3 linked regions of the Caenorhabditis elegans genome follow. The protein of the gene in region 2 purifies or fractionates together with the protein of the main gene of each other region. This does not show direct contact. Each region holds a gene or a part of one and is shown on either strand. Other genes may lie near its edges.

The links.
Region 1: the proteins of F01F1.2 (region 2) and F56C3.10 fractionate together in Caenorhabditis elegans (co-fractionation; one large-scale study listed by BioGRID). This does not show direct contact.
Region 3: the proteins of F01F1.2 (region 2) and cox-4 fractionate together in Caenorhabditis elegans (co-fractionation; one large-scale study listed by BioGRID). This does not show direct contact.

The regions. Positions count from the first base shown.
Region 1 is NC_003284.9:1,380,871-1,383,364, forward strand, and holds F56C3.10 (Ovule protein), read right to left. Parts: upstream 796-2,494; coding exon 505-795; downstream 1-504.
Region 2 is NC_003281.10:5,876,854-5,879,969, forward strand, and holds F01F1.2 (COX assembly mitochondrial protein), read left to right. Parts: upstream 1-1,700; 5' UTR 1,701-1,705; coding exon 1,706-1,850; intron 1,851-1,906; coding exon 1,907-2,011; intron 2,012-2,082; coding exon 2,083-2,176; intron 2,177-2,221; coding exon 2,222-2,363; 3' UTR 2,364-2,562; downstream 2,563-3,116. Other genes in the region: mig-21 (Abnormal cell migration protein 21), read right to left, coding at 167-480, 623-721, 778-896, 941-1,185, 1,235-1,399; hpo-10 (SAC3/GANP/THP3 conserved domain-containing protein), read left to right, coding at 2,758-2,762, 2,992-3,076.
Region 3 is NC_003279.8:13,657,667-13,660,986, forward strand, and holds cox-4 (Cytochrome c oxidase subunit 4), read right to left. Parts: upstream 1,463-3,320; 5' UTR 1,446-1,462; coding exon 1,314-1,445; intron 1,263-1,313; coding exon 1,133-1,262; intron 1,082-1,132; coding exon 816-1,081; 3' UTR 505-815; downstream 1-504. Other genes in the region: sac-2 (SAC domain-containing protein), read left to right, coding at 1-136, 183-473.

The DNA.
Region 1 (2,494 bases), on a different chromosome or scaffold from region 2:
AGCTGACAATTGCCGATATCAAAAGGCCTGATGCGGACCTGAAATACATATTCAACTACTGGCAACAGTTATCAAAGTTGCCGGTCGATTTCAGTAGCGCTGATGCTAGCTCTAGTGGTATTAGTAACTGTATGCATTAGTTGGACTTCCGTTGATTTCAATGCAAAATTTAACATCTGCGACTTTTTTCGCACACCACCAAAAAAAAACCTAGAATATTACACACTTTCAAAGACTTTATTAGGGTTTTTTTGGATGAAATTTGTTAAAAACAGGTAATTCATATATACAAAATTCAGGAAGAAAATCTAGGTTTAACCCACCAAAAAATATTAAAAAGTGGCAAAATTGGGCAATTTATTGTAAAAAGTCACAATTTTGAAACTCCTGTAAAATGACTAATTTTATAGCTAGAGGGCTCAAAATTTATCTCCAAACCCTAAAAATTGCCCTTTTTCAAAATATAATAGTTTCTAACGTTCACCCAAAAAAAAACCCACATATTTAATGTCCACCATCAGCTGAGGATTGCTTAGATTTGGTGTCTTCTTGGCTTTTCGGTGGCTGAGCTTTTGGAAAGTCGATCATCATCGCTGCCCAACGTTTGGATTGAGATTTGGATTCCGGTGGAATTTGAGATGTTGACGGAACTTTTTTGGGTGCCGGGACTGACGAACTAGTTGAGATGTTTTTCAAAGCTTCTCGAGCCATTCTCTCTTCATACATGAGAGTTTGAATACGGCATATCTCTTCGGCATCCTTCACAAGCTGTTCCATTGTCTTTTTTGGGGGCATCTGGAAAAGTAAAGTTGGGAAAAATCGTAAAAATAAAATTGAAAACCTGAAAAATGAACCGAAGTGCATACTCATTGTGCCCCCTGGGATTGCTTCGTTGGTGGTTGCTAGGTATTATATCCAGATATCACTGTTGTCGTTGAATCAGAATTTTAGAGTAATGACAAATTCATTAACGTAGGGAGTTGGATTTTATAAACCGACTAATGTAAGGGATCGCGAGAATATTTATCGAGGTGAATCTGGTCGCAATTATTAATAATATTGATTGATTAATAATTATTCCGTATCACTTTTTTGACAATGCTTAAAATGAATTATACAATTACCTAGAACAACCATTCAAACCGAAAACAAAAGAAACCATATTTTGAACCAGGGCTGGCGGCAAAATACTTTTTCCGGCAAACTGGCACATTGCCTAAATTTAAAATTTCCGGCAAACTCGGCGAATCGGCAATTTGCGACACATTTTTGGCAAGTTATAGTTTTGTACCTAATTTTTGGAAATTTCAGAAATTCAATTTTAATCGACAAAATTGTACGAATTTTCTATGAAAATATCTTTTAAAAAACGGGGAAAAATTTTCAAAAAGGTACAGTTTTAAGTGTTTCCGTCATATAAAAAATTCCCTCAAAACACTTTCAAAAAATTGATATCCGGCAAATGGCAAATCGGCAATTTGCCGAAAATTAAAATTTCAGAAAAAACGGCAAACCGGCAAATTGCCGTTTTCGGTCAGTCAGCAGACCGGCAATTCGCCGATTTGCCAAACGGCAATTGCCGCCCACCCCTGGTTTAAACTACCAAAACTACCACTTCAGGATCCTCAAGAAGTCGTCTTCCTCAACTGCACCTAACATACTATGACCGTTTCAAAGATATCACCTTGTTATAATTGAAGTCACGACAAAACAGTACCTTTAAAAAAATCAGCGACATCGATCCAGCCGTGACTTGATATAAGAAAGATTAATACTGAGCCCTCCGTAATTTGTACCTCCTCTGTTTTTTTTAGTTACTATAATATTACAATCAATACACGTGGTGTCAGAATGTCTCACTGCGGTTTGATCTACAAAAAATGCGGGAATATTTTTCCAGAAAATTTGTGACGTCAGCTCCAGGGGTGTGCGGATAACCGATTTTTTCGGCTAACGGATAAATCGGCTAATGCCGATTTTTTGAGAACCGGCTAACGGCTAATTCGGCTAACGGCTAATTTCAAAATTTTCGGCTAACGGATAATTCGGCTAATCTCAGTCATTCAAATCGGCTAATTTTCGGCTAATTCGGCTAATTCGGAAAATATTCATTTGGTTAAGCTTTTTTTGTTCATTCTGTTAATTCAGGTTTTGGGTTAATTTTTCACTGTTATTGAGCAAATTCAGGGATGAACGACTGTTCAAATAGGAAAAAATCATACAAATTCACCACATTTCGTTTTCCAAAAAAATATGTTAGTTGAATTAGCCGAAATAGCCGATCGGCGAATTCGGCTGACATCGGCCAAAATCGGCTAACGGATAACTACGTATTAGCCGAACTGCCAAAAAGTCGGCTAACGGCTAATTTGGCTAATCGGTAAAAAGGTCGGCTAACGGATAATTCGGCTAATATTAGCCGAGTTAGCCGAATTAGCCGATCGGCTAATTCGGCTAAATCGGCTATTATCCGCACACCCCTGGTCAGCTCGCT
Region 2 (3,116 bases):
TTCTGATGTTTTTTCTTTAGAATTTCAGTCTTAAAACTGAAGAGTTGAAGTGATAAGAATTAAAAACACCTCACTCAGAGTATTCGTTGTACAGATCAATGATAACTTTTATTATCGTGGCGTGAGAAATGGGCAGACAGAGACTGTTCTCGAAAGCATCCGAAATTCACCAAAAACTTTCATCTTTCGGGGAACCCGGAGAACGAATCAAATGAGAAGGATAGTCACGTGGATTTGAATCATACGAATAATTCAATCTTATGAATCTCCTTTTAAAACGATTCACAACACAATAAATAATATTTTGAAGAAGGAAACCCGTGAGAATACAAAAACAAAATATTGGAATTGCAAAATGCAAGGGAAGACATGATGACGTGAATCTTGATAAGAGATGGTGTTCGATGGAAATAGAAGAGTTGTGAAGAAGACGATAACGGTATGCAACTCCTGGATGCATATGCCATTCAGACCAGTTGGCTGGAAATTATTCTCATTAATTTTTTATCATGTTGTTAACTAACACAAAAATTTAGACAGTAAAGTGGACATTGTACTTTGAAACTTTCAAATTTAGTCTTCAAGTTATGGTTCTTCGAAATTTTTTAACTAAAATTAATACCATGCTTCATTGAGTCTTGAGTCTCCTTCCGTATTCCCACTTCAGTATTCGCCACGTTTGATGACGAACACCAGGCTGAAAACCGTACTTGCTCAATTCCTGAAATTAAATCATTACAAATTTGTTGATATATTTCAGCGTAATGAGACCCATACCATAATTCACCCAATCTGTCCATTCGGACCATTTTTTACTAATTGGACACTCATCTGGGCGGCAATCTTCGTAATCCTTGTCACATCCCTCGCAGGAATTACCTTTGCAGTGCCGAGTTCTGAAACTTGGGTTACTGTACATTTCCCAATTGTTTGAACCTACCGTATCCTCAGGCTACGATCACAATCGCATCGAGACCATGGATTCCAGGATGTCCAGGATCCAAAAAGATACTCCGGTACATTTGAAGAAATTGCACAAGATTGCTTCTCAACTTTCTGGCCAGAACAAGTGGTACCAATTGGTAAAGGATTATTACACGTTCGTCTTCTTTTTCGGATACCTTCTCTACATTTCGACCATTTTGACCACGTTGACCAACCTCCTGGACGGATGCAATTCCAAATCTGCATCAAAATTTTATTGAATTGGTTTTTATCTTTTTGAATGTAGAACCTTAATTTCTCCGCCTTGTTTCGAACATTCACAGAATATACCATTATTAGATGCACACTTATTAGAGACAACTTGAGAATATAAAATGCTAGAATCATTTAAATTAGCCAACGAATATGAGAAATTGACGAAAACGAAGATATTAAACAAAACCATGACAATCATTTTCTATGAAACTCAGTTCTTACTGAATAAGTGAAATTTCTACACCCATGTTTGTTTCTCTTTTCAGATTTCGACATTCCTTCTCCTTTTCCATCTTTCAGATGTCGCCAGATGGCAGGGTTACTGTAGAAAATTTCACTTTTTGCAGTGTTAGAGTCGCGCTCCATTGCTACGCGTGAGAGATAAGAGACGGCAAAGATCTTTTTTTTTTGTTTCTCGGGCGCTATCATTTTAACTTTTAAAACTAGTAAATCTCATGATTTCTCTTGAAATTTCCATTTATAAATTTTCAAATTTACAGCTAGAATGACGGAAAATAAAGTGAATATCACTGATAACCTGGAAACCTTAAAGGAAGGCGAAATTGTGACAGACGAGAAGACCGGGAAGAAATATCGTGTCAAGAAAAATATTATGCCACATTATTCAGCTGGAGGACCACATGGATTAGGTAATTTTTAAATCAGCTTGCGGTTTTTACCATTTAAATACAATATTTGTTTTCAGGTGATCCAGAAGATCGGACTTTGAGGAAAATCGAGGCAGATGTGATTATTCCGAATAGAATGAATACCCAAATCGAAAGAGTGGATTGCAACGAATCTTATTTAGGTTTGTGAATTATTGAAATCATAAAAATAAAAGCACGATTATATAGAGTTCTATTTCTACAACAATTTCAGGACTCATCACTTGCTTTCGAACCGACGGTGCTGTTTCTGGCTTGAACACGTGTAAACCAGCTCTAGAACTCTTTAATCGATGCAAATATGAAAAGTCTGGTTATTTTAATGTATCTCAAAATAACAAGAACATATTAAGATTCCACGATCCAGCCTTCCGAGCAAAAATGACTGACGAGTACATTGCGGAACGATCGGCAGCTCGAGCTACTGGAATGACATCGCAGCAACGGAAAATTGAAGAGTTTCGGGATTGGAAGAAGACAAATGAGCAAAAGTAGAATTCTTTCTTGTTTTTCATAGTTAATTGTTTCCTTGTTTGTAGAATCAAATACAATCCATTTCTTCTGGTTTTTATACTTTTTATAGTTATTATTGTCAAGTGTTCGAGTCACTATATATTATCTCATATTCTTACCATTTCTTCATTCTAAAAATATTATTTCCAAAAACTCGTTAATTCATGAATTATTCTTTCACTTTACATTTTATTTTTGCCAGAGAATATAATAGTGCAACGACGCTCCGTTGAAAATCGATACGCGCTCTGTTTAGTTGCCAGTAAACTACGAAAACGCTGGTCCGTTAAACTTTATTGATTTTACTCTTTTAACGTTGTACGCAAAATTGAAAATTTTCTGCTAAATAGTTATTTCTGTCTGTTCTATTTCAGATATGGGGTTCGTTATTTTCTTTTTTAATTCTGAATGTGATGTTCGAAGTCGATATGTTTCGCACAAAAATAACTAAAAATTAAATAGTTGCTATTTAAAAAAGTAGGCAGCACCATTTTTTCAAACTAAAGTACTAAATAAATGCTAATTTGGAATTAACTTTTCGACGTGAACTTTTTTTGTCGAATATTATTGATTTTTCCTAATCTCCTTCAGTTCTTCTTTTTCTTTACAGAGAAGAAGTTATGTCAATTCCAGTGCCAATGGAGACAGGAGCAAATTCCGAAGCTTGGAAAAAAGCGAATGAAGCATTAATGAAGGTTTGTAAATATTTCATATGAACAGTTGTTTCAATTTGTA
Region 3 (3,320 bases), on a different chromosome or scaffold from region 2:
TAATAATACTGCAATCCGTCTGAAATCCTTGGAAGAAGCCAATGAGTATATTTCGTCGGTCGCTGAGCAGATTCAGGTTGGCAGGAATATGCTGACTGGCGCTGAAGGTTCAGTTGTTCCGGTGGCAAAGATTACGGTTTGGGTGGCTTGAGATTTTCAAAATCTAGAATTAGAAGTTTCAGATCCCTCAAATGTCGGTTCATAGAAAATCGATGGCTGCGATGGGTGCACTGTTCGGGAAGATCAAGCGAGTTGGGAAGCCATCCAGTCTATCGAAAAGTGCTTCCACAATTTCAACTGCTCAACTTCCAGAAACCGATGGAAACGAATCGGACGCATCGCAAAAATCGGATCACTTAATGACGAAAATCCTGAAAATGTCACAATTTAAATCAGATTCTCCCCAACCCGAACCATTTTCCTCGCTACTACCCGCTATCTCCGAGTGTCAAACTAAAATTTCACTTTTGTAAAGAAATAAATAAATTATTGCCTCCTGGATTTAACAGCAACATTCAATCTATTTATTTCTGGTTTACAGGGCAGCCCATCTCTCAAGAAGCCGAACCACTTGGAAAATTTGAAGAAAAAATTGGGGGAGACGAAAGAATTGGTCAGTGCGTTCGACCGCTAGGAGAGATTTACAGCTTATCTAGGTTTCAGATGAGGGTTGGGGCGATGAAGAAGAAGGTAAGCTTGAATGTTTGACGAGAGAGTGATGGGGCGGGGGGAGCGACGACAACCAAGAGAGAATTATAAAAACGAGAAAGAAGCTACAAAAAAATTTTATTTTATTTCTGCTGAATCTCTATATTTTACTTCCACTTCTTGTTCTCGTAATCGTAGTGTGTCGGTGCACCGAGGAATTGTCCCTTCTCGAGCACAAGCGCACGCTCAACCTGAGCCTCCTTGTACTCGTTCTGGAAGGTTGGCGGCAGTTCTGGGTACACGCAGACGTTGAGAAGAACAGCATAATAGGTGCAAAGTCCGAGCACGGAGAGGATAACGGCGGAGATCACCTTCCAGTATCCGGTTGGAGCCTCGAATTCGGACAGCGTTTGACGGAAGCTGTAGCGGTACACTGAAAACTTAGCAACATTTTCAAGTTTGTCGAGGAAAATTGAATACTAACAGAGCTTCTTCTCCTCAGCAGACAAGTTCTTCCAGTCGGCTTGCTCCTTGGCGCGAATTGGGGCAATCACACTGTCCTCCTTGCGGAATCGAATAGCTGGATACCAGTAGTCGAGACGATCTTGGTAGATCTGAAAAATAAATTAATTAAATTTAAAATTTATAAAATAAACAAGGCGTACGTTATCTCCATTTGCTCCGTATCCGACGAGCTCGCGTCCAGCGGCCTTATCGGGTCCCCAGTAGAATTCCTGTCCTCCGGACAGACGGGCGGTGGTGTGCACTGCGCGGAGAGCCAAACGTGGCAGCATCATTTGACGAGCCAACATACCTGAAATAAATAACTGGTTTATGGGTTGAAAATGCAGGAAAAACCAAAAAACAAAAGGTAAATCCGGCGTCAGTGTGGAGAAATGAAAAAAACATACTCAAATGAACTATTTTCATAATAAAAATGAATTTCTAAAGTAATTTCTAAAGTGGCCGACGGAAAACACCGATGGAAACGTGGAAGAGGATAGTTTTAGTCAGAAACGAACAAACAACAGAACACACGGGTGCAATATATTAATAATCAAAAACCGTTCTCTCTTCGTGTTTTAAGGATTAAACTAGCCGGAATACGAACAAACGATGGAAATATGTGGTTCCTTTTAATTTTTGCATAAAACTTGGCAAAATCTCCAGAAAAATCAATAAATTGGCAATGTAACAACGGCTCGCCGTTGCGGGCTGTTCACTCCGTAAATCGTGTTGACTGAGTAATCAACGTTTTACACGCGTTCAAGTACGCAGCCAATTGAGTCCAATAGAGCGCTCTTGCTTTTTGAATCTTTTGGGTGAAAAATTGAGAAAAACTTTTTATAAAAAAATTTATAAGCTCAGGCTTTGGATTTTCGCTTTTTGCGTCGAAAAATCGCCTCTACGGTGCTGGAATTAATAATCGGTGGGATTTTCGCAGGAAATTCTCTGGAAAAATCGATAAATTGGCGATTTTGGCCCAAAAACTCTGAAAAACGCTGGATTTTTCTGAAAAAGGGCTTTAAATTTGTCAAGATGAGCGGAAGAATCTGAAAAATCGATTAAAAAACTCAAGAAACTGGAAAAAAATCGAAAAAATCAGTTTTATTGCGTTTTTAAATGAGTTTTCCCAAAAAAATTGGAAAAAATACGATTTTTCATTGAAAAATTGAATAAAAATACAAAAATTAGGGGGTTTCTCATTATTTTTCCGAAAAATCGATAAAACGTTGCCAAAAAGCTTCAAAAAGCAGATTTTTAGCAGTTTTTCACTGAAAATCCTCAAAAATCCCGACTTTTCCGAGAAAAAACAACGAAAATTCGATAATTTCTTCCCAAAACCCTTTTTTTCTAATTTCTCACAGAAAATTCTCAAAATTTAAAAATCTACCTATTTTAAACAATTTTTCTGAAAAATTTGAGAAATTTCATGTTTTTCGCCAAAAAAAAGCCATTTTTTTACGAAAAAGTGCTCTAAAAAATCGATTTTTCAGCGAAAAATCAAAAAAAAAACAGCTGTTTTTATTGATTTTTTTTCCCTAATAATTGTAAAAAATACCAAAAAACCCTCAAAAATCACGAATTTAGCTTCCAGATCGGTGGCCAATTGACGAATATCAACAAATATCAGGATTATTATATATCCGCAAAGAAAATCAATATTCCCGGCGACGAAATTCTCGAGATTTCGTCCGGTAGAGCGCACTCGCTGATTCGAACCAATTTGGGCGTTTTTGCGATTGGTGATAATAATTTTGGGCAATGTGGACGGAATCCTGAGAATATGGATTATGTTGTGGGCTCTGAAGGTACAATATTTGGGATTTTTAGCTAAAACTAAGGCTTTTAGGCTTTTAGAGCAGCTTTTAGACCCCAAAAAAGCTGAAAATCGAGCTCAGCGTAGTTTTTTACCCCAACACTGCAACTTTTTCCTCACGAGGGACGAGGAAAAGTGGTTTCTAGGCCATGGCCGAGGGGCCGACAAGTTTCAGCGGCCATTTATCTTGCTTTTTTTCCGCGTGTTTTCTTTCGTTTTTCACAGCTTTTTCCCGTTTTTTCTTAATAAAACTGATAAATAAATATTTTTTGCAGATGCTAAAACAATTTCCAAGTAAAAAAATCATGTATTCAGTGGGCAAGCAGCGGTGAAAGTGGGCATTGTAATATGA